Pelodiscus sinensis: one gene and its partners. The protein of the gene in region 3 interacts with the protein of the main gene of each other region in a pairwise test. Links are inferred from orthologs where the notes say so. Each region holds a gene or a part of one and is shown on either strand. Other genes may lie near its edges.

The links.
Region 1: the proteins of CEP44 (region 3) and ABI3 interact in binary tests that used the Homo sapiens proteins (3 or more experiments, as listed by UniProt). The two-hybrid records come from large-scale screens. The link is inferred for Pelodiscus sinensis from reciprocal best matches to the Homo sapiens genes CEP44 and ABI3.
Region 2: the proteins of CEP44 (region 3) and POP5 interact in binary tests that used the Homo sapiens proteins (3 or more experiments, as listed by UniProt). The two-hybrid records come from large-scale screens. The link is inferred for Pelodiscus sinensis from reciprocal best matches to the Homo sapiens genes CEP44 and POP5.

Annotation. Positions count from the first base shown.
Region 1 is NC_134739.1:14,542,432-14,549,552, forward strand, and holds the start of ABI3 (ABI gene family member 3), read left to right. Parts: upstream 1-4,118; 5' UTR 4,119-4,465; coding exon 4,466-4,573; intron 4,574-6,047; exon of another isoform or gene 6,048-7,121. UniProt on the Homo sapiens protein: May inhibit tumor metastasis. In vitro, reduces cell motility.
Region 2 is NC_134725.1:8,837,547-8,845,238, reverse strand, and holds the start of POP5 (ribonuclease P/MRP protein subunit POP5), read right to left. Parts: upstream 3,004-7,692; 5' UTR 2,720-3,003; coding exon 2,700-2,719; intron 2,625-2,699; coding exon 2,482-2,624; intron 2,175-2,481; coding exon 2,025-2,174; intron 1,298-2,024; coding exon 1,214-1,297; intron 1,014-1,213; coding exon 907-1,013; 3' UTR 1-906. UniProt on the Homo sapiens protein: Component of ribonuclease P, a protein complex that generates mature tRNA molecules by cleaving their 5'-ends. Also a component of the MRP ribonuclease complex, which cleaves pre-rRNA sequences.
Region 3 is NC_134715.1:68,963,267-68,970,238, reverse strand, and holds the start of CEP44 (centrosomal protein of 44 kDa), read right to left. Parts: upstream 3,003-6,972; 5' UTR 2,862-3,002; exon of another isoform or gene 2,750-2,861; intron 1-2,749. Other genes in the region: FBXO8 (F-box only protein 8), read left to right, coding at 6,236-6,323. UniProt on the Homo sapiens protein: Centriole-enriched microtubule-binding protein involved in centriole biogenesis. In collaboration with CEP295 and POC1B, is required for the centriole-to-centrosome conversion by ensuring the formation of bona fide centriole wall.

The DNA of each region.
Region 1 (7,121 bases), on a different chromosome or scaffold from region 3:
CCCCCTGAGACAACCCGCCTCAACAGCCTCGTTGGCCATCTCCCCCCTCACACAACCCGCCTCGGCAGCCTCGTTCGCCGTCTCCCCCTCACACAACCCGCCTCGGCAGCCTCGTTCACCGTCTCCCCCTGAGACAACCCGCCTCAACAGCCTCGTTGGCCATCTCCCCCCTCACACAACCCGCCTCGGCAGCCTCGTTCACCGTCTCCCCCCCCCACAACCTGCCTCGGCAGCCTCGTTCGCCGTCTCCCCCCTCACACAACCCGCCTCGGCTGCCTCGTTTGCCGCCTCCCCCCCACATAACCCACCTCGGCAGCCTCGTTCGCCGTCTCCCCCCTCACACAACCCACCTCGGCTGCCTCGTTCGCCGTCTCCCCCCTCACACAACCCGCCTCGGCTGCCTCGTTCACCGTCTCCCCCCCACACAACCTGCCTCGGCAGCCTCGTTCGCCGTCTCCCCCCTCACACAACCCGCCTCGGCTGCCTCGTTCGCCGTCTCCCCCCCACATAACCCGCCTCGGCAGCCTCGTTCGCCGTCTCTGCAGAGCAAAGGGGAAAACCCAAAGGATGACAATGGCGGGGGAGGAGGGAAGGAACCGGGGCGTCTAGTGAAACACAGATTGGCTGGGAGTGAGGAGGGGGATGCAGCTGTGAACAATCCGAAGATCGTTGTGGGGCGTATTTACAGGCCCGGTGTACGTGAGACGTGGCGGGTAATTGCCCTGCTCTGGGGAGGCCTCCTTTGCTATTCCGTGGCCGGGTCTGGGCCTGGCGCCGTGGGGAGACCATGGACCGGTTGAGGAGAGTCCAGAGGGGAGCAACAAAAATGAGAAAATGTTTCGAAAACCTGACGTGGGTGGGACGGTTCCAACGCCTGGAGAGGTTTGGTCCTGGGGGGGACTTGACAACAGGCTTCAGCTCTGGCGAGGGCGAGGCTGTCGTCACAAGCCTGGTGCCCCGGGGCTCCCCCATCCCCTGGAATAGGGCTCACGCCGCAGCCGCAGGGCTGGGTTAGACGCAAGGAACATTTGCTGGCTCTCGGGGGAGGGAGCTCTGGAGCAGCATCCGGGGAATCCCCATGGGTGGAGGCTGGGGGAAGACGGTCAGGGCTGGGCTTTCGACTCTTGGAGGTCCTTGCTAGAACGACGTCTGATTGGAGCAGCCTAGGAGCATCTCTCAAGTGCAGATTGGCTACCCCCCCCCGGGCCATCGGCCAAATGGAGAAGGGCGGAGCTGGGGGAGCTGGCGGCGCAGGGGCAGATGAACCCGGCCTCTGTGTCTACTGGCAAGTGCTCGCATTGGGAGACTCTCCAGCTGGGCCGAGCTGCCCTTTGATCTGCCCAGAGGGGCTGGGATGGAAACCCCTCCCCCCCCGCTGCACATCGTACCGTGGACTGGACGATACCCAGGCTGGGGCTGCGTGTGGCTCCGCGGCGGGGCGGCTGCGGGGCAGCGTGAGGGCACTGCCAGCCCCTCCGTGAGCTCTGGCCGGCCGAGAGGAGTCCGTGGCCCAGTGTGAACTGTCCCGGCTCAGCGCGGGTTAGATCGGAGGGTTGGCCCGGGCCCGCCTCTGCTGGAAACCTGGGTCCCGCCAAGCAGGAGGAAGCCACGTCCTAGCGGATTTCGTCCCTAACTCCTGCGACAAAGCTCCCCCTCCACCTGGGGCCTGAGCTCTCGGGGGTTGACTTGCCTCCCTTCAGACACCGGCTCGCTGTTTGTGGAGACTCCCATCGCAGGCCAGCACGGGGAAGAGGGGAAACCAAACTTCCTCGTCTTTGCTGCCCCTCCCGGGAGTGCAGGGAGGACAAACCCTTGCACCCAGGGCCGGATTAAGGCATGAGCTAGCCAGGCAGCTGCCCCAGGTGCCAACCTATGGGGGGCGCTGGATGGCAGCTGTGAGGGGCGCTGTGCAGCCGGGCGCGTGGCACCCCTTAGAGCTGCCATCAGGCGCCACACAGCCGGCTCCCAGGGCAGGGGCTGCGTTAACCCCCACGGCGCCGGCCAGCAACGCCATTACCCGCATGGCTGTGGGGCCCTGCACGGCCAGGCTCGTCCCGCCCCAGGCGGCCCCGGGCTGCGCACCAGCAGCAGTAGCCAGGCTGGGCCGGGCCGGGCACGTGCATCCTGCCGCCGCCAGCTCCACGTGCCCTCCCCCTCGTGCTGGGCGGGGGCGGGACCATGCATGCACCCTCCCCCGCACACCAGCACGGGGGCGAGGCCGCGCATGCACCCTCCCCCAACCCAGGGCACAATTGAACTATCTGCCCGGGGCGCCGGAATGGCTTGATCCAGCCCTGCGTGCACCCAAACCGGTTCTTCCTAGTCGTACAATGGGGAGCTGCTGGCGAGAACCGGGCCTGTCCTTTACCGCAGGCTCCGGCCCAGGGCCCCCGCAGCAGCCGCTGTCTGGAACGTCTCTGGTAACCGCTACAAATCCACAGGCCACTTCCCCACGGGCCACGCCCTTCCACCCTGGTACCCACCTGCGCTTTCTCCTCCCAGCCTCCCCCGCCCCTCACTCTCCTCAGCTCCCTCCTCGCAGCAGAGCAAGCAGAAGGAAAAAGCCCTTTTAAACCAGCCTCAGTCCGGCCCCTGTGAGTCTGGAAGCCTCCTGCTTGGTGCTAAGTGTTTTCATTGGCCTGATTGCGCTGACTGATTCTAGCAGGTTCCTGCTGGTTCTGGATCAGCCCTCGTTAGTCTAGGCTGGGAACAGAGACCTATTTAATCCGGGGCTAATAGATTTCCCCTCCACTGCTCCCCGGTAGCCCGACTCGGTCACACTCCCCACTCACCGCGTGCCGTGGGGCCGGGATTTGACCCTGTCGATGGCAGAGCCGCATTATGACTTTGGTGGGCCATAGGCACCTTTGCCTTCGTGGGCCCCCCCCCATAATAATATCAATTGTAAAAATGATTTTTGATATAACTTTAAATACTTCAACATTTTTTTTTCTGTTTTAGGCAAAATTGAATCGATTTTCGTGGGCCCTAAAAGTTTCATTTTTTTCTGATGTGAGAAAAATATTAAAACATTTTGACTATGTTCCCACTCGCGGCTTCTTGCGCAAGTAATATGCAAATGAGGCTAAGCGTGGAATATCGCCGAGCCTCATTTGCATACCTAATGAGCCACCATTTTTTCAGAAGAGGCTCTTGCGCAAGAAGCGTCTACACTGCCCCTCCTTGCGCAAGAAAAACCCTTTTGCGCAACGCCGTTCTTCCTGTCAAGTAATAGGTGTAACGGCGTTGCGCAAGGGGGCTATGTCTAGATTGCATCCCTCAGCACGGAGCTTTGCCGGAAAAAAGCGCCAGTCTAGACGCGGATCTTTCGGAAAATAAAGCCTTTTCTGAAAGCTCCCTTATCCCTTATTTTAAGAGGGCCTTTTGGAAAAGGCTTTATTTTCCGAAAGATCCGTGTCTAGACTGGCGCTATTTTCCAGCAAAGCTTCGTGCCGAAAAAAAGCGGCAGCCATTTTTATGCTAATGAAGCGGGGGAGATTTAAATCCCCGCTTCATTAGCAATTGCGATACGTCTAATTTGCATCCCTTTTACGAAAAGAGGGTGCAATCTAGACGCAGCCGAGGGTTTTTCTTGCGCAAGAGCCTCTTCTGAAAAAAATGGTGGCTCATTAGGTATGCAAATGAGGCTGGGCGATATTCCACGCTTAGCCTCATTTGCATATTACTCCCGCAAGAAGCCGCGATGCAGACGTAGCCTTTCTTCGACCCTAAAAGGTTTTTTTTCCTTCTGATTTTAAAAGAAATTAAAACATTTTCGTGGGCCCCTAAAAGTATCGCGGGGCCCAGGCACTGAGCCTACTGGATACGTCGGCCCTGGTCGCTGGGCTACCGGGGAGTCGCAGCTTCACCCCAAGCACAGCAGCCAGCTTCGGCTGTACACGTGGGCGCGGACACGCGTGGCCGCCCGGGAGCCCGTTGCGGGACAGTTTAGCTCCCTGGCCGCTGGGACTTTCTTGGAATGTTTCTGTTTCCAGCGCCCCTTGTTCTTCTGCCATGACTCACGTCCCCTCTCGCTGTGGCTTTCCTCGGCCGCCCCCAGCGCTTCCCCTGCGGCTGGCAAACCCCGCCCGGACGGCCCCTCTTCCCCCCACCCCTTCCCCCGGAGGATCACCGCAGGGTCTGACACCAGCTCCCCCCGGGCCAGCTGCGCCCCGCGCCCCACAGCGCGTGGGAGCCACGTTTCCTCTCCGGGCCGTTCCTAAGTTTCCCGAGTGCGCACGGGAAGGGGGGCGCACGGATCCCAGCGGGCGCTGAAAGCCGGGTCCCTCCGAAGCGGCCCCCGGGCTGGCGGGGCGAGTGGCCGGGGCAGGCTGGGGCCCCCCGGTGGCGCAGAGGGGCAGGTGCGCAGCGGGGTGGGACTGCGCGCCCCGCCCGCCAATGAGCGCAGCGCAGCGCCCGGGCTGCCTGGGGAGCCGCTGGCGCGCAGGAGGAAGCGGCGCGCAGCATGGCCGAGCGGCAGCAGCATGAAATCCCCGCGGCCAGGCAAGTCCTGCGGGACAACTACAGCAACCTGCACAGGCTGGCCGACTACTGCGAGAGCAACTACCTGCAGGTAGGCGGGGCCCGCGGCTGGGCCGGCCAGGTGCCGAGATCCCGGGCATCTCACACTTAGGGGCATGAAGGCTCCGCAAAGGGGCAGCTGGGCCGGCTCTGCCCAGTAGAAAGGGAAGGACAGAAAATGATCTTGCCTTTGGGGAGGCAGTACGGCCTAGTGGCTAGCGCCCCACACGCCGAACTTGGCTTTTGGCCCCGTCCACACAGCCCCCTGCACTGGGATCAGACTTGCACATCGCGCCTCTTATTTCGAAATAGGCAATTTTGAAATCTGGCCCGTCTCCACGGCGCCGAAGTTCGAAATAAGAGGCTCTGTCGCACCTTCCCTTATAGCGCCCGTTATTTCAAAAAATCTCCCAAAATAGCCGTGCAGTGTAGATGCAGCCTGCGAGAAATCGCTCCGTCCGTTGTGCCGCGGTGTCCGTCTGTCCTGCGTGCGCTGCCTGTAAGCTCAGAGGGCCGAGTAACCGTGTCTGACTGTGGCCGTGTTCTGGGGGGAGGTGCAGTCTTAACTCAGATCCGACCCTAAGGGGAACCTGATCTTCAACTTGACTTGCAAGTGTCCACCTGGCGCCTGCCTTCTCTTCCCTGGGCCCTGGCTCGCTCACGGGAAAGGCAGGTCTTTGCAGAGCGACGCCAAGCCCCGGGGCAGGTAGCTCCTGCATCCTCCTTACAGTCCAATGAGCTCCAAGTAGAGGGGGAACTAAAGCATAAGCAGATGAAGTGACGTGCCCAAGGCCACCGGGGTTGTGGGTGGCAGAATCCCGGTTGGACCTGGGATCTTGTGTCTCCACATGCGGTATCTATCCGCTAGCTCCCCCCAAAGCGCTGGGCTCTGTGCCAGTAAAGATCAGATCAACCCTAACAAGGTTTCCCCTCGTTCATTTCTAGCCCTCCGCACAGGGCGTTAACGGGGACGCCTGCCCAGTTCCTCAGGTACAAGTGGGGCGGGAGGCGGGGAGATAGGACACTTCCGTGGGGGGGGGGGTTGTTCCGCGTGGTGACATGTGTCAGGAAACGCAGAGGTCGGCGCTGAAAGTCTGCACCTGTGAAATAGCAGAACCTCCCAGGGGCACGAGCAGCAGCCTCGGCTCCCCGCTTGGTCCCCGCGAGAATGTTCCGAGCTAGTTCTGGGGTGAGCGGCTGTCTGGTGTGACTGCTTCCCGCCCAACCTGCGGCGTCATTCCCTGCTCTGAGCGCCCGGCGCTGGAAACCCACCGCCTCCCCTTGCCCGACGGGGTGGGAGCGCAGTCCCGCAACCGGATCTTATTTCCTTGGCCCGTGAGAGCTGAGAGCAGGGCTCCCTGCTGGTGGCTGCTCTACCGAAGAGGTTACAACCCAAATACACCAGGGGAGCAGGGTCCTGATTGTACAGGAGGGGGGCCGAGGTACAGAGATCCAGGTCCCAATTCTCAAAGGGATTTAGGAACCGCACTCCCTTTGATTCCCATGGACGTGAGGTGCCTAATTACCCTGGGAAGGTCTGGGCTCCACGCTCAGATGGCAGAAGCAGGAGTTGAATCCCAGTGCCCGGAGTCGAAGTCCAGCGTGCCTGCCCCCCCTCGTCCAAGAGGGCTCCAAAGAGCTGTCTGAACTCCAGAGGGGAGGGATGAAACTCCTCCCTCTGAGATGCAGCCACTTCTGGGGTGGAACACAGCCAGCCCTGCCCAGCCCGCCAGGGCACAAAGAAGAATCGCGCCGCGACCTGTTGGAATTTCCATGCCCAGCAAGACAGTGTTGGGAAAAGGGCCAGGACAGAAGCACATTTTGGATGCCCACATCTGGCCAGCAGCTTGGTTTTGCGCCCCCAGCCCGGGCTGAGCCAGCACTGTGACGGCGCAGCGCCCCTGCCAGACGGCTCGGCTGTGGGCCGGTTCCCAAGCGCGCATGAAGCTAACCCGCCCCTGCTTAGCTGGAGAAGGCACCTTGCAGGGCCTCAGTTCCTAAAGGAGATGAGGTTTTACAGCTGGATCCAAAGCCCATGCAAGTCAATGGCCAGTCCCCGCAGCGCCCTCCACATCATGCTGCAAAGGAGGCTCCGTTTCCTCCTGCCCCAATGCAGGGTTCTAGGGCCACATCTGTACGCACGGCTGGGTGGGGACCGGGGCGAAGGCATGGTCTGTTGGCAGAAGCCGCTCGCCCGCGGACGTAGCGCCGGGCCCACAAAGGTGGACTAGTCACCCCCCGAGTGCCACCCGTCGCGCCACCCGAGGCCGGAGTGTGGAGCCAGCCTAGGTGTGTTTCCCCCTCCCGAGGGACAACGCTCTGGCCTCCCTGCCTGCGACAACAGCCGGGCAAGGCGGGCGAGGCAGCACCTTCTCCGGCACCATAGAGGCGCGTTATCAAGCTGCACAGAGCTGGGAAGGGCAGTTTGGCTCCTGCTGCACCCGAGATTGGGTCCCGTGCAAGATTCCCCCTCCCACCCCACTCCCGCCTCTCTCTAATCTTCGGGGACCAGCCCCACGCCGCCGCTGGCCAACGGGGACTGATGGTCGCCTGTGTCCTCCCGCCCAGGGCAGGGCGGTGCCGTTTCAGGCAGACAGTGA
Region 2 (7,692 bases), on a different chromosome or scaffold from region 3:
TCAAGCTTGTCTATACCAGCTCTTCCACTTGAGAAACTGAATTAGTTTGAGGCAATTTGAATAAAAATATGCATAGAACTTTCCTTTAACAATGCCTCCAATCCTCCCTTGACAGCTATGACTATTTTAACCTGGATGTGCTATGCGCTTTAGCCCTGGGTGTTTTGCAGCCTAAACTTTATGAAGGTTGAATTTCCATAAATAGTGGAGAGCAAAACACCCACTCTCAGGATGATTCATTCTCAAAGCAGCAATGGTGCATCTTTCCTTCAGTACAATTTACTCAGCAGTTTGAATACATTACCAACACATTTTAATCAATACCCAGACATAAGTATTGTCTCTTGATGGTAGCAGGGCAGCTACTCAAGACATCTAACTGTCAAACAGGTTTAGCCACAGACTTCAGAAGCAGGGCACTATAACAATCCTCAAAGAAATAACCTCTATGGGATACTAACTCAGTTTCACCTCAGCTACTGTAAAAAAGTAATCCTGATCTAATACCGGAATGATTCCCAGAGATAGGTATAGTTGGAGGAGGAGCTTAACCTAGAGCAGTCTTTAGGCCTGTTTTAAAAACTAAGCAAGCTCTAACTAATAGAATTTGTGTCCCAGGGGACAACTTGTTGAAAGGTAGCCTTCCATTTCCCCTCTCCTGGCTTGAAGAGATTCAGGCTTTTGCTTAAATAAAAGTGCTGCATTAGCTGAATTTTAAGGCTGCTGCCCAGTGATTTCACCAGAAATCGTTTTACCCTTTCCTTTATTTTCACAAGATCAAAATACAGTTAGAGATGCCTTGATTCTCATTTACTTAGCACAGGGCAGGCAGCCCAAGACATCTTTTAACAGGGTAGTTTTCCCAGTGCCTTACAGAAAGCACCACATTAGATTTAAAGTTTATGTTCAGTCTGTCTCTACACAGTCTTCTTCATCTCCACTGTGAAAATGCTCCTCCTCCACTTCTGTAAGGGAACAGCTTAGCAGAGACTTCTGGATGGACTGTCTTTCCTCTGTAACAATGATGAGGAGGCATAGTATGAAAAAAATTCATTATTCAATAGGTTTCAGAGGGAAGAACAGAGTTACATAGCTACAGTGATAAGACAGCCAGCTCTACCAAATAACCAGAGGCTGCAACAACACCCAAGTCCCCAAAAGTCCATGTGTAACAAAGTCCTTTTTGAAAGGTAGGAATAGAGCAGCCGCTTACCTTCACTGGTGCAATTATGCAATAGTAGCAGGAGCTGTTTCCTGTTGTACTGAACTAAAAATTTTTGACATGTTCTTATTGTCCCTGTTGAAGAAACAAGGGAACAAAGTCTGTATGATAGAGAACTAAAGCAAATTAAACACTACAGAGCAGAGCAAAAGTACATTTTAATGATATAATGTATTCTCCCTGTTCAACCAGGAAGTAGGAGTGTTATGGATCAAAAAACAAGAACATCACAGACCATAAACTACAGAAACCAGGCTGAACAGCAAGGAAAACTCTTACTTCCCACCGTTTGATATTTGTTAACACTTATTTGCCCAAACTTGCAAACCGCAGCAATACCAGGTGTCGTTTTCCTTCATTTAAGACTTAATCAAAAGTTTCCTGAGGACAGATGGTACCCAAGTTTGATGGGGGTGGCCAGCTCTTTGATGTAAATACTGAATTCATAGGGGTTAGGAAAATAGTCACACATGCAAAGTAGGTGGGCTTTTGTTTTTAAACAGTATAATGAACAGAGTAGTGAACAATTCAGCAGAATGAAAAAAATACCAGAGGTATAGAGGCCTCAGCACAACAAAAAATGTTTTAGCTTTTGGATTATCTATTTCAAGCCATTAAAGGGAAATTTGTATTAGCCTCAGTGAGGCAGAATCTGAGCGCACCTTCTGTCACAACTAGAAACATTAAACAACAGGGCTCTTCACTACTTTCTAATCATTGCAAGAATAGTAAGACACTCAAGATCTCAAAGTTCTGAGATTGAAGTGTCACAAGCTACCAAAAACACTCTTGAAAACCTTACCTCCAACATGTAATGTGTTGAAAAAACAGGAATAGCGCTGGTTCCTGTTCTCTAAGTAAGTGACAAAGGGAAGAGCTGACCAGAGGAGCCTATAAAAGTCCTTTCGGCATCGCAAGAGAACTATGCCTGTGTAGGCATTCAGGTATTTCACTGGGCACAGAAAATAACTGATTAGTACAAATGACATTTAATTGCTTAACATTAGAGTGTAATTCAGAAATGCTGGTTTATTCACAGAACCTCCTCTCTTATACTGCTGAAGTTCCAAGTCGCTTTTAGGGAGGAAGCAAAAGCTCATGTTCTAGTTCCACATTCGTGCAGCCACACCATTAAAAGGAAACAAGCCACTGCAAGGGGGCAAGGCGAGTCCCTCCCGAGCCCTCCTTCCTTAGCAGCCACTGGCCTCCAGGACCCCCCCGCCCCCGTTGGCCTGACCGGGGGTCGGGCGGGCGCGCACCTGTGAAGGAGATGGAGCAGCACGCCAGCCCGTAGTCCCCGTGGGCGCGGGCAATGGCCTCCTTCACCGCCGCGCCCACCGCCCGCTCGTCCATGCACGGCCGGCAGCGCGGCTCCTCGGACACCAGCTCACACAGCAGGTACCTGCAAGGCGAGGCAGCCGCGTTAGCGCGCGACGGGAGGGGGCGGGGCCGCGCGGAGCAGGGAGCGCTGCCTCACCTGTGCTTGAACCGCACCATCGCCGCCTCGGCTGCGCGCGCACTGGCGCGCGGGACACGGAGTCCGCCGCACGCTTCAGCCAATGGGAGCGTCGCCGCTGGCCCCCGCAGCCAATCAGCACGCCGCCGCGGGGGGAGGGACGAGAAACACCGCGATGGCGCGGCGGCTCACGTGCGCTTTTGCGTGCTGGGCCGCGGCGCTGGCGGGGTAGGGGGCGCGAGCGCGCGGGCTCCTCCTTGCTGCTGCTGCCTGGTGGCGCAGAGCCCCGCCCCCGCCCTCCGCTGCGGCCGGCGCCAGCCCGCGCGGGGGCAGCAGAGCCTCGCGCAGCGCCCAGGCCTCCCGCTCGCGCCGCCTGCGCCAGCCGGGCCGGGGCGGGGCCACACGCGGGCGCCCCCAGCGTCGGCCCCCGCCGGCAGCTAGCGGCTCTCGAGCGCCGGCCTCGGCCTCGCCCCGCCCCGCCCCGCCGCTGGCCCGAGGGGCCGGTCGCAGCCTCCGGCCGGGCAGCGCCTCCCCTCTCGCGCCGGGCAGACTTACCCCCCCCCCCGACCGCAATTGTGAGAGGCGGCCCCGCCCCGCCCTCATCTGCCCCCCCAGCTCCCTTGTCCTCGCCTGCCCCCCCTCAGCCCCCTCGCCTGCCCCCCTTGTCCTCGCCTGCCCCCCCTCAGCCCCCTCGCCTGCCCCCTTAGTCCCCTCGCCTGCCCCCCCTTGTCCTCGTCTGCCCCCCTCAGCCCCCTCGCCTGCCCCCCCTCAGCCCCCTCGTCTGCCCCCTTAGTCCCCTCGCCTGCCCCCCCTTGTCCTCGTCTGCCCCCCTCAACTCCCTTGTCTGCCCCCCAGCTCCCTTGTCCTCATCTGCCCTGGACCCCCTTAGCTCCTCCGTCCTCATCTGCCCCCTCCCAGCTCCCTTGTCCTCATCTGCCCCCCTTTCAGCCTCCTTGTCTTCATCTGCCCTGGACCCCCTCAGCCCCCTTGTCCTCATCTGCCCCGCCCCCTCTCAGCTCCATTGTCCTCATCTGCCCCGCCCCCTCTCAGCTCCCTTGTCCTCATCTGCCCTGGACCCCCTTGGCCCCTCCGTCCTCATCTGCCCCGCCCCCTCCAGCTCCCTTGTCCTCATCTGCCCCGCCCCCCCTCAGCCTCCTTGTCCTCATCTGCCCTGGACCTCCCCTCAAACCCCTTGTCCTCATCTGCCCTGCCCCCCCAGACCCCTTGTCCTCATCTGCCCTGGACCCCCCCTCAGCTCCCTTGTCCTCATCTGCCCCGCCCCCCCAGCCCTCTTGTCCTCATCTGGCCTGGACCCCCTTGCCCCCTCCGTCCTCATTTGCCCTGCCCCCCCCAGCCCACTTGTCCTCATCTGCCCCGCCCCCCCCTCGGCTCTTTTATCCTCATCTGCCCTGGACCCCCTTGGTCCCTCCGTCCTCATCTGCCCCGCCTCCTCCGTTCCCTCGGCCCCTCTGTTCTTATCTTCCCCTGGCCCCCTCCCCGAGCTCCTCTGTCCTCATCTGCCCCTGCCACATTTCCATGACCCCTTGTGGCATAGTGGGGAGGATGTTGGCTCTGTATCCCGGGGTCCCCCTGTGTGGTGATGTGTGATTCCCACTGACTCCCCCACATTTTGTGATGTAGTGTCAGTACCTTGCTGGTTGCAATGTTTGGGCGGTGGGCTGTGGAGGATCCCCGCTGGCGATTGTCTGTAAGCACAGCCCAGCAAGAGGGGCCTCAGGACAGTGGCCAAACCGGTTCTACTTTTTAAGGAAAGAGACAGGACAAAGGAAGTGTGCCCTGGGGGAAAGGTCAGTCTTAGGCTGGAACCATGAGGGAGAGAGACTAAGGTTACTGGGGCTGAGGGCTAGGGGTGATAGACCCCTAACCATAGGTGTGTACACGGGGTGTGCCGGGTGTGCCCAGGCACACCCAAATGTTTCAAAGGGCCGCCCTGGTGCGCTGGGGAACGGACGCTGCGCAGGGTTTGCCACGCATGCGCAGCCAAAACCAGCGGGTCTTAGGACCTCACAGAAACAGGTGGCAGGGAGCAGCATCTTCACCCCGCGTCCTAGGCAAGAGAGGTAAGTTTAAACCCCGGGCAGGTGGGGGCGTGCTCTGGGCAGGGGATCGGGAGCAGTGCAGCTGCTGGGGGGGTTCGGGTCAGGAGTAGTGCGGCTGGGCCCAGGGTCGGGGGAATCGGGGGGCAGCACGGCTGGTCCGGGGGCATCACAGTTGACCCAGAGTGGGGAGGTCGGGGGCAGCACAGCTGGTCCAGGGAGGGGGGCCGGGGTCGAGGGCAGCGTGGCTGGGGTCGGGGGCGGACCCGGAGGCAGCACAGCTGGGTCGGGGGAACCCAGGGGCAGCGCAGCTGGCCCAGGGAGGGGGGGGTCCGAAGTCGGGGGTAGCGCGGCTGGTCCGGGGAGGAGTGGGGCTGAGGTCGGGGGCAGTGTGGCTGGCCCCCGCACTCCAAGAACTGCTTCCCATCCCCCCTCTTCCTCCCAGCCAACCTGGCGTTCCTCAACACTTCCCCCCAGCTCTGCTTCCTGCACCTCCTTCCCCTGGCCCCCCTTCCTCTCGGCCAGCCCTGCGGCCCCTGGCCTCCCGACCAGCTCTGCTTCCCACCAAACCCCTTTCTCCTGGCCATCCTCCCCCCGGTCCATGATTAAGTGTGTCCGGTTTTTTGGGGGGTGGTCTACCTGGTAATCCTACCAGCTGCAGCTCCACAACATGCTCAGAGATAGAGCTTCTTCTCCTCCCCAAGAAGTCAGACTCAACTAGAGGCTCCCAGTGCCGATTGCGCCCCACCTTTCAGTCATTTCCCCCGCTGCCGCCAGGCTTCAGTCTAGCGCTCAGCCGGAAAACCAGGAAATACCAGACATTGCATGTGTCGGGTATTTTCTGGATTTTTTTTACCGGACAGAGGGCCCAAAAACCAGACTGTCCTGGCAATCCTACGAGTCAGACCCGGTGCAGGCACTAAGTGATGGGGAGACTGCTGGAACTTTGGGAACCAGAGACTGTGGGGTGGGAGTTTGTGGCCCAAAAGGAGGCTGAGAAACCTAAGAAAGACAGAGTAGGGGGAGCACCAGAAGGGTGATAGTCAGGGCGACCCTAGAACTCTGTTACAGACCATCTGGCAGGGAAAAATAGGGGGAAAGGGTCAGAGAGGAAGGGGCTTGTGCTGAGGGGAGGGGGACAGGTCAGGAGAAGAAAGGAGATGGCACCAAGGGACAGGGTGGAGGTGAGACACAAATGCCAGGGGGCCAAGTGCAGACAATGAGGAAAAGGGCAGGAGGGGAAGTGTCAATGAGAGCGGGGGACAGGATGATGCTAGGAGAGGAGAGAGGAAGGGCTTTGGGGGCTAGAGGGGAGAAAGGGAGGTGCTGGGAGAAGACTTGAAAGAAGGGGTGGGCATGAGGAAGGCAGGGGTGGAGCAAGGCTTTCAAGTAGGAATAAGGGATCTTCCGGAAAAGGGCTTATTTTCCGCAAGATCCCGTCTAGACTGGCGCTTTTCTCCAGCAAAGCCCCGAGCCGGAAAAAAGCGGCAGCCATGTTCATGCAAATGCTGCGGGGGATATTTAAATCCCCCGCGGCATTTGCAATTCCGACTGGTTTCATTAGCATCCCTTTTCCGGAAAAGGGTTCCAATGTAGACTCAGCCAATGGGTTAATGCAGTCGTGGGATAGTTGCATGAGGGGGGTTTGGTGAGGGCCAAACTTATCCCTATTGGTAGGAGGATGGTGGGAAAAGTCCTTGGGGGGGATGTCACATGAAACCTTTTATTTCTGGTCATGTGTCCATATTGCCCTGAAAGTATTAGCTCCAGAGGCGTGGCGAATGGGGGTCAAAGAGTACATTTAAAAAAAATGATTTGGGTGCACACCCTAATGAAATGTGCTGTGCACACCTATGCCCCTAACCCAAGGGGTCTGAAACATCCTGGCCCTGATTCTTATCACATCACGTCTATGCTGTACTGTATCCTAGAAAAGCAATAAAACCCCTCTATTCTACTGCTGGTGGAATCTGTTCTTGCTGCTACAGGGGTGCAGAATTGGGGGAATCCCAACTGTGTCGCCACTCCCCTCCATCTTCAATTCCTGATTGAAGGGAACCAAGCCAGCTCCCCAATTTAAATTGGTTTGCACCTGCAGAGCTGCTGAGTTCCAACTCAGAGTCCTGCCTGTAATGCTTCCCGCAATCCTATTGTCCTTTGAATTAAGTGAGTAAGAACAAGAACATAAAGTAACAACAAGAGGCTCCAGTTAGGGCAGTGAGCAAGGGGATCTTTTATTCATTAACTACATACAATTCCACGCCATTTTTAGGTTCCATCTCTAACCAATTCCATTTCCAGCTGCTCCAGCATCTCAGTCCCTTGTGTTCTCTGCCTGTGGTGCATAATAGTTTGTTTTTTGAGAGCTGAGATACTTTGGTCTAATTCTAGTAGTTAGGCTTAGTGTGGGAGTGACTGGGTGATGTTTAGTGGCCTGTGATATATACAGGCAGTTGTCCCAGATCAATGGCTTTCAACCCTTCCTGATTACTGAATCCTTTCAGAAGTCTGATTTGTCTTGTGCAACCCTTTCCCCTCACTTAAAAAGTACTTGCTTGCAAAATCAGACATAAAAATTCAAAAGAGCCATAGCATACTACAGGCTGCCCCTGACTTGCGACTCGATCGGTTCCTGGGATAGTGTCGCAAGTTGGGGGCATCGTAACTCGAACCCACATTTACAGTAGGCTGAGGACATAAGGTGGGGATTTCAGCCCCTTCCGCACTTAAAAAAATGGCCGTTAAGTACAGGGGATTGGAACTCGGGCCATCGTAAGGTGGGAGTTTCCTGAATTACTGAAATAGTGCTTGCATTCTCATGCTTACCTTATAATTATAAAATAAATTGAAATATAAATATTGTACTTATATTTCAGTATATAGTATATAAAGCAGTATAAACAAGTAGTTGTCTATATGAAATTTTGGTTTGTACTGACTTTGTTAGTACTTTTTAT
Region 3 (6,972 bases):
CTCATTCCTCCTCCATTAATGTCATGAATGATTGCAGTCTTTGACCACTTACCACATTTTTGGAGTAGCCCTCTATCAAAAATTATTTGCCATCCCTAGTTTGCCCTATACTATATAGCAGTGGTTCCCAACTTTTTTTATACCGTGGACCAGTAAACCCATCCACAAACTTTTGGCAGACCGGTAACATTTTATTTGCATATTCAGTATGCAAATAATGAATGCACAAATAAAATATTACTGGTGCGCCAAAAGCCCCAACCCCCAGAGCCACCACAAACAGCTGGCTTCAGCTCCGGCAGTTGCAACATAGCAGGCAGCTGGCGCAGCTGAAGCTGGCTGTTTGCAGTGGCTCCGAGAGGTACCCTTACCTCCCCCATCCCCCGCCAGCTCTAAACCCTAGAACCCCCCGAACCCTCCACTACTCCCCAGCGCCAGCCACTGACCCAAGTCCCCTGCACCCAATCCTCCCCAGTGCCAGACTCCCATCTTCAGAGCCCCCCAATGCCAGCCCCCATCCCAAATGCCTCAGTGCCAAGCCCCCATATCTTAAAGCCCTCCACCACCAGGTCCCTTAGTGCCAGCCTCCTTTTTCAAGAGCCCCACTGCACCCAACCCCCAGAACTCCCCCAGTGCCAGACTCCAATATTAGCCCCATCCCCAGAGTCCCCCAGTGCCAGCCCTGCCCCATAGACCTCCCCCACTATTAGCCCTGCCCCTGAATCCGCCCAGTGCCAGTTCCCCACCACAGATGCCCCAGTGCCCCCCAGTGTCAGCTCTTCACCTCTTAGAACTCCCCACTAAGAGCTCCCCAGTACAAGCTCCACCTGCAGAGCCCCTCCAAAGCCAGTCCCTGGCCTCTTGGAGCTAGCCCTACCCCCAGAGCACCCAGTGCCTGCCCTGCCCTGCACCCTCCCTCCCCAACTAGCCCTGCGCTGCATCCCAGCCACCAGCTGAGCACTGCTGTCAGGTTGCAGGTGTTCTAAGGCTGCTATGCTAGGCTTTGTGTGACCCTCCTGCTGCGCAGCGAACCGCTCTTCTGTATCCCAGAGGAAACACTGTCCCTGCCTGGTGCTGATTGGCTGAGAGGCAGAGCAGAAAATGTCTCTTCCACCAGCTGCGGCGGGAGGGGAAGCACTTGGCAGTGTACCCCAGCGCCGGCCCCAGAGCCGCCACAGCCCAGTAGCCAGAGATTTGTGGCCCAGCACCAGTCCACAGACCAGCAGTTGGGGATCATTGTTATACAGATTTCATGGGTAGATCAGTATCCTGACCCTAAAGGAAGTTGCAGAGGGCTCAAGAGGTTATAGGGTGGAGGGGAAGTGTGCAACATTCCTACCCTAACTTCTGCACTGCCTTAAGATATGGGTGGCTGGAGAGTGGCAGCTGTTAGTCAAATGCCCAGCCTGTAAGACAGTGTCCTGCAAGCAGCAATGGAAAAGGGTGGCAATACCCTACCAGGTCATCCTTATCTCCGTGCTGCTTACTGGAGTGGCGCTGTCTTTACCGGGCTCCAAAATAACAGCCTCCACTCTCCAGATTCCCAGTTCTGAGGTTTACAGAAGTAAGGGTAGCCTCTATACAAAACCATGATACGCCCACAACTTGAATACTGCACACAGATCTGGTCGCCTCATCTCGAAAAAGATATATTGGCATTGGAAAAGCTTCACAAAAGGGCAACAAAAATTACTGGGGTTTGGAATGGGTCCCTTATAAAGAGAAATTAAAAAGACTTGGATTTATCAGCTTAGAAAAAAGGAGACTAAGGGGGAATATGATAGAAGTCTATAAAATCATGACTGGTGTGGAAAAAGTGAATAAGGAAAATACTTATTCCGTTAAAATAACAACTAAGGGTCACCAAATGAAAATAATAGGCAGCAGGTTTAAAACAAACCAAAGGAAGTTTTTCTTCACTCAGCACACAGTCAACCTCTGAAACTCCTTGTCAGAGGATGTGGTGAAGATTAGGACTTTAACAGGATTCAAAAGAGAGCTAGCTAGATTCATGGAGGTTAGATTCATCAATGGCTATTACCCAGGATGGGTAGGAATGGTGACCCTAGCCTTTGTTTGTCTAGAAATGCATGACAAAGGAGGGATCACTTGATGATGACCTGTTGTGTTCCCTCCCAGTCTAGGGCATCTGGTATTGACCACTGCTATGTCAGCAGACAGGAAATTGGGTTAGATCAGGGTTTCCCAGCCTATGGGTCGCCATTACACTTCAAAAGGGTCGCCAGGTGTCTCCCCAGGTGGCTGTTAAGGAGCCATTCACACTTTTTCTGAATTGCCCTGGGTCACCGAGTCTTGCTGACTTCTCAAAATTGGTCCCCCTCTGAAAAAGGTTGGGAACCGCCGGGTTAGATGGACCTTTGGTTTGATCCAGTCTGGCCATTCTTATGGCTCAGCCCCTCTCCCGCCCAGGACCATTTCTCACGGGAATTCGCCAAGAATCCTACAGAGAATCCAGCGCCCAGCCCGCCGCTCTGCGGGGGAAGGAGACTTAAGGGCCCCGGCAGAACAAAGCGAAGGGACGCAGGGTCCCTGCCCGCCCCGGCCTCCGGGACGAAGTACAGAAAACTTCGGCGCCCCAGCTCTGGGGAGCGGGGCCAAGACTGAAACAGACGCGGGGCGGCGGGGCCGGGAGGTGGCACCAGGCACGCAGAGAAAGCCCCCTCTTGCCACTCCGCCCGCTTTTTCAAGGAACCTCCCCCCGCAGCGGCTGCGCCGTCCCCGCACCCACCGGAGGCTCCTGGCGGCGGTTTGTATTTTACCGGCAATTGAAGCCCAGCCGCGGGAACCGCCTCCTACCGCGTCCGCATTGGCAGATTCATCGCTCGCTCTCCGCCGCCTACCCGCCAGAGCGCACTCTGGGTCAGCCCTACAGCGAGGTCGCGTTGCCGGGCGGCTCTCGCGGGCGGGGCAGGGTCACTAACATTTAGGCTTGGCCATTAGCCAGGTTCGGCTCGTGCAGAATCTGCCAACACGAATCTGACAACAGCTTCCGCTTCCGGGAAGTCTCGGGTGCTGACGTCACTTCCACCAACAACAGCGACATCAAAACTAAGGAACGAGAAGGGGGCGGCGGCGGCGCCGCAGGAGGGTTTTTATCTTCTTCTCTCCCCCCTCCCTCCCCCCCAGTACGCGGGGTTTCCTGAGTTCGTTCCCAGCCGGCGAGGTTCACGCACCGACTCGGCTCGTCGCGGCGGCGGTTGGAATCGGAGCTTGGGAGAGGTACGAGAGACCCTCGAGCTGGGTCCGTGGGGTCGGTGTGGAATGATGGGCGCCGCAGCCAATCAGAGATCGGCGCTAGGGCAGAGTTGTCTGACAGGGCCAATCTGGCGCAGGGGCGGGACTTTCCCTGCCCGAGCGGGTCTGTGAGAGAGTCAGGGGCTCGGAGCCGGCTCTGGGGCTGCTGAGCCTCTGGCCGGCCGGCTCCTGCCTCATTCGCGCCGCGCGTTTAGTGCCTGCGCCTGCCCGCTGCCTCCCAGCGCAGCACCGATGCCCTTTCGGTGCCCCCCAAACACCACCCACTTACTTCCTTTTCTCCTTGGGGCGCTGCGGGCGGTGATGGGTTTAGTGTTTGTTGTCCACGAGCGGGGGGAGCTTATTCGAGTAAGAGGGCGGGGAAGGTGACTCTACAGCAGGCTGATCATGATTCCGAGTTACTTGGAGGACCGTGTGTGGGAGTAACGTGTGACCTAGAAGTGGGGCTCGGGAGGGAAAAGAGGCTGCTGTTGACGTTTTGGATTCCCCGAGGAGACAGTGACAGCTCCGCTTATCACGGCCATGAGCAAACTGAAGCATCTTTTAAGTAACTCTAATAGTAGTTTAAAAAACTTCCTACTTAATGCACCTCGAGCATCTAGCATCCATGTTCAGTAATAATTGTAATGATGCTTCATGGCTTGAATACCTCTGATTGTAAGAGAAGGTGCACAGTGTAATGGGGCTTTGTGCTCACCAAGGGGTGGAATTTTACATTTCTCCAAGGGAACTGGCATTTGCCTTAAACCAAAACAGTCACAGATGTGAGAGCAGGCCAGTAACATTGATGTATATATACCTGCAGTTTCACACAATATAGTATTGCTGTCAGTGAGACTATGCGTTGACTTTTAGTAGTCTGCAACACACAGCAGCACTGTAATACAGTGTTATTTACCATAACATAGCACACAGAAGTCCTGTGCAGGATTGGGGCCTGGTTGTGTTAAGCTCTGTGCAGAAACAGGTAAATGGGGTAGCGAATATATAAATAAATGTTAGTGGTTATCCCTACTCACAAGAGTAGACCAATCAAAGAGCCTGAATGAGTAGGGAGTACAATGTTGAGGTCTTGGAAATTGATGCCTAAATGAATTTTTTTGGCATCAACATTGAAATCTGAAACTTTCCAATAGAAAATTAAATGGACTACAATAAAAATACATTTATTTGTTATGTTCAAAAGCTTCAGGGGGTAGCCGAGTTACCCAAATTAATCTAAAGAAGTGTGGTGTGCCCATGAAAGCTCATGTTTTATTAGTCTTTAAGGTGCTGCTAGACTATTCATTGTTTAAGTTTTTCCAGTTACTTTTTAGTTACTCAGATGTTTTTAGGCCAAGAAATGATTTTCCTAATCATATTGTAATAGTTTCTAAAGTGTTCATCTTGATTACTGAAAAACTGAAAATAATTACTTGATGGAGAAAAATAAGACACCTGCTCTAACAAATGCTAGATAATCTATTAAACTGTTACAGATACATTTTAAACTAGCTATGCACTGATTATGATAAAGCCATAAGATGTAATGTATCTCAATCTGTCACATCCATCAAATCTGCTCATTTGGTAATTAACATAAAAAAACTAAGCATAAGAACTGCTATTGTACTACTTGTGTTCGTATCTCTGAATATCAGGAAAACTTACTCCATAAAGTGAAATTGATTAGAAGTGATTGTGATCTGATTTATGTGTTTACCATAAGATTGGCTTTTGTGTATAAAAGCCCCATGTACTTGATTGTTCTGTGTTTCACTTGAAGGCCTTTAACAGGAAGGCCTTAATCACCTGCAATTGTTATTAACACCAATACTACATATAGACAATCTGTCTTGCAGCAGATCAGAAGCTATAATAAAAAAAAAAATCCCTTGAGTGTTTGCCTGCGTAAAGTCCACTTGATAACTCAGCAGGCATGATCATTCCATAGCCTATTTCTGATGATGATGCTGTTCTTTATTTCTCACTTATAAACCTCTCTGGAATACTCTGACTTGAAAAAATAATCATCTTTCAATGTCTTGTAATACTAGAAAAAGTGACCGCTTGAGTTAGCGGCGAGGAGTCCGGTGGCACCTTATAGATTAACTGCAGTGTAGGAGCATATGCTTTCGTGGGCAAAGACCCACTTCGTCAGATGCACGCATGCATGCATGCATCTGACGAAGTGGGTCTTTGCCCACGAAAGCTTATGCTCCTACACTGCAGTTAGTCTATAAGGTGCCACAGGACTCCTCGCCGCTTTTGCAGATTCAGACTAACACGGCTACCCCTCTGATACTTGAGTTAACAATCTTCATTGTGGGATTCTCCTCACACCTTTAGATCCCTGAGGATTCTTCTCCTATACAGTGGGTGGACAATAATTTTAGAAGGGGGGCCACTTCATAAATTCTTGAAGTGGCCCTGGGCTGCCCTGGAAGGGGTGGCACCAGGACACTTCTGTGCTTCCCCACCCACAGTCCCTGATTGGCCAGGCGGTTGGGGAGCAAGTGAAGTCTCTGCCCCTGCCACCCCTCCACCACCAGCCCCCAGAGAGAACTGCCAGTTGTTCTGAAGAGCTGGCAGTTCCTTCTAGGCACCCGCACCCCTGGCAACGGGAAGAGACTTTGCACGCTCCCCTACCCCTGTGGGCATAGTAGCGTGCAAAGTCTCTCACTCCCTGCCCCTGCCCCTGTTCAGCTGATGGTTCACTCTATGTGCCACATGCCCCTGGTGGGGGAGGAGATTTTGCATGCTCCCCTATCCCCACACAATGATTGGCTTGGGAGTAGGGGAGAGGCAAGGTGTCCGTGGGCTGAATCAACTTGCTTGGCGGGCCGGACCAACCTGGGGAAGCTCTCTTACCCCGTCCTATACGCTTTTTTTTCTCCTTTTTCACGTCTCAGTATTGTTGATCTCTTGTTGTCTAATTATTATATCATTTGTTTAGTTCCAGCAATATCCTCAGCACTGTACAATGTGCAAAAACAAAGATCATCCCTGCTTCAAAGAACTACAGTTCAGAAGATATTCTCAGAGGACAGGGTCACTGGATATATACACTGGTAGGGATATATTAGATTCTACAAGAGCCTATTAGAGTACGATGGGCTTAAGACTTAAGTTTAACATTACTGTTTATCTGTTAGTGTAGTAATCAGATGGGTAGCTGTGTAAATCTGTGTCTGCAAAAACAATCGAGAGTCCTGTGGCACCATGGGTCTGGTGTACACTAGGGAGTTATTTTGCAATATCCCTTATAACAAGTGAAGCATCCACACTGCCAAGACCGTTATTTTGAAATAACTCCTTCTCTCCATGAAGAATAATGCTTATTTTGAAATAGTTATTTTGGAAGTTATTATTTTGAAATAAGTTTGAAATAATTTGCTAGTGTAGACATGCCCTTAGAGACTAACATATATATTTGGGCATGGTCTTTGCCTTCGAAAGCTTTTGCTCAATTAAATCTGTTTGTCTTTAAGGTGCCACCGGACTCGTTGTAATCTGTTCATTGACAAAGACATCAGAAGTTCTGAATATGAAGAGCCTCTAACATTTGCAGCTACAGTTTTTCAAGTTTATTTGCTGCCAATGCTTGAGTTACACACAGAGCTGGGGCTGGCTGAAGTCTCACAGATCTGGAAACTCAACAGTTTTCTAAGATCTATGCGTGTATAGTGCCTAGCACAGTGGGAATTCTAATTTCAGTTG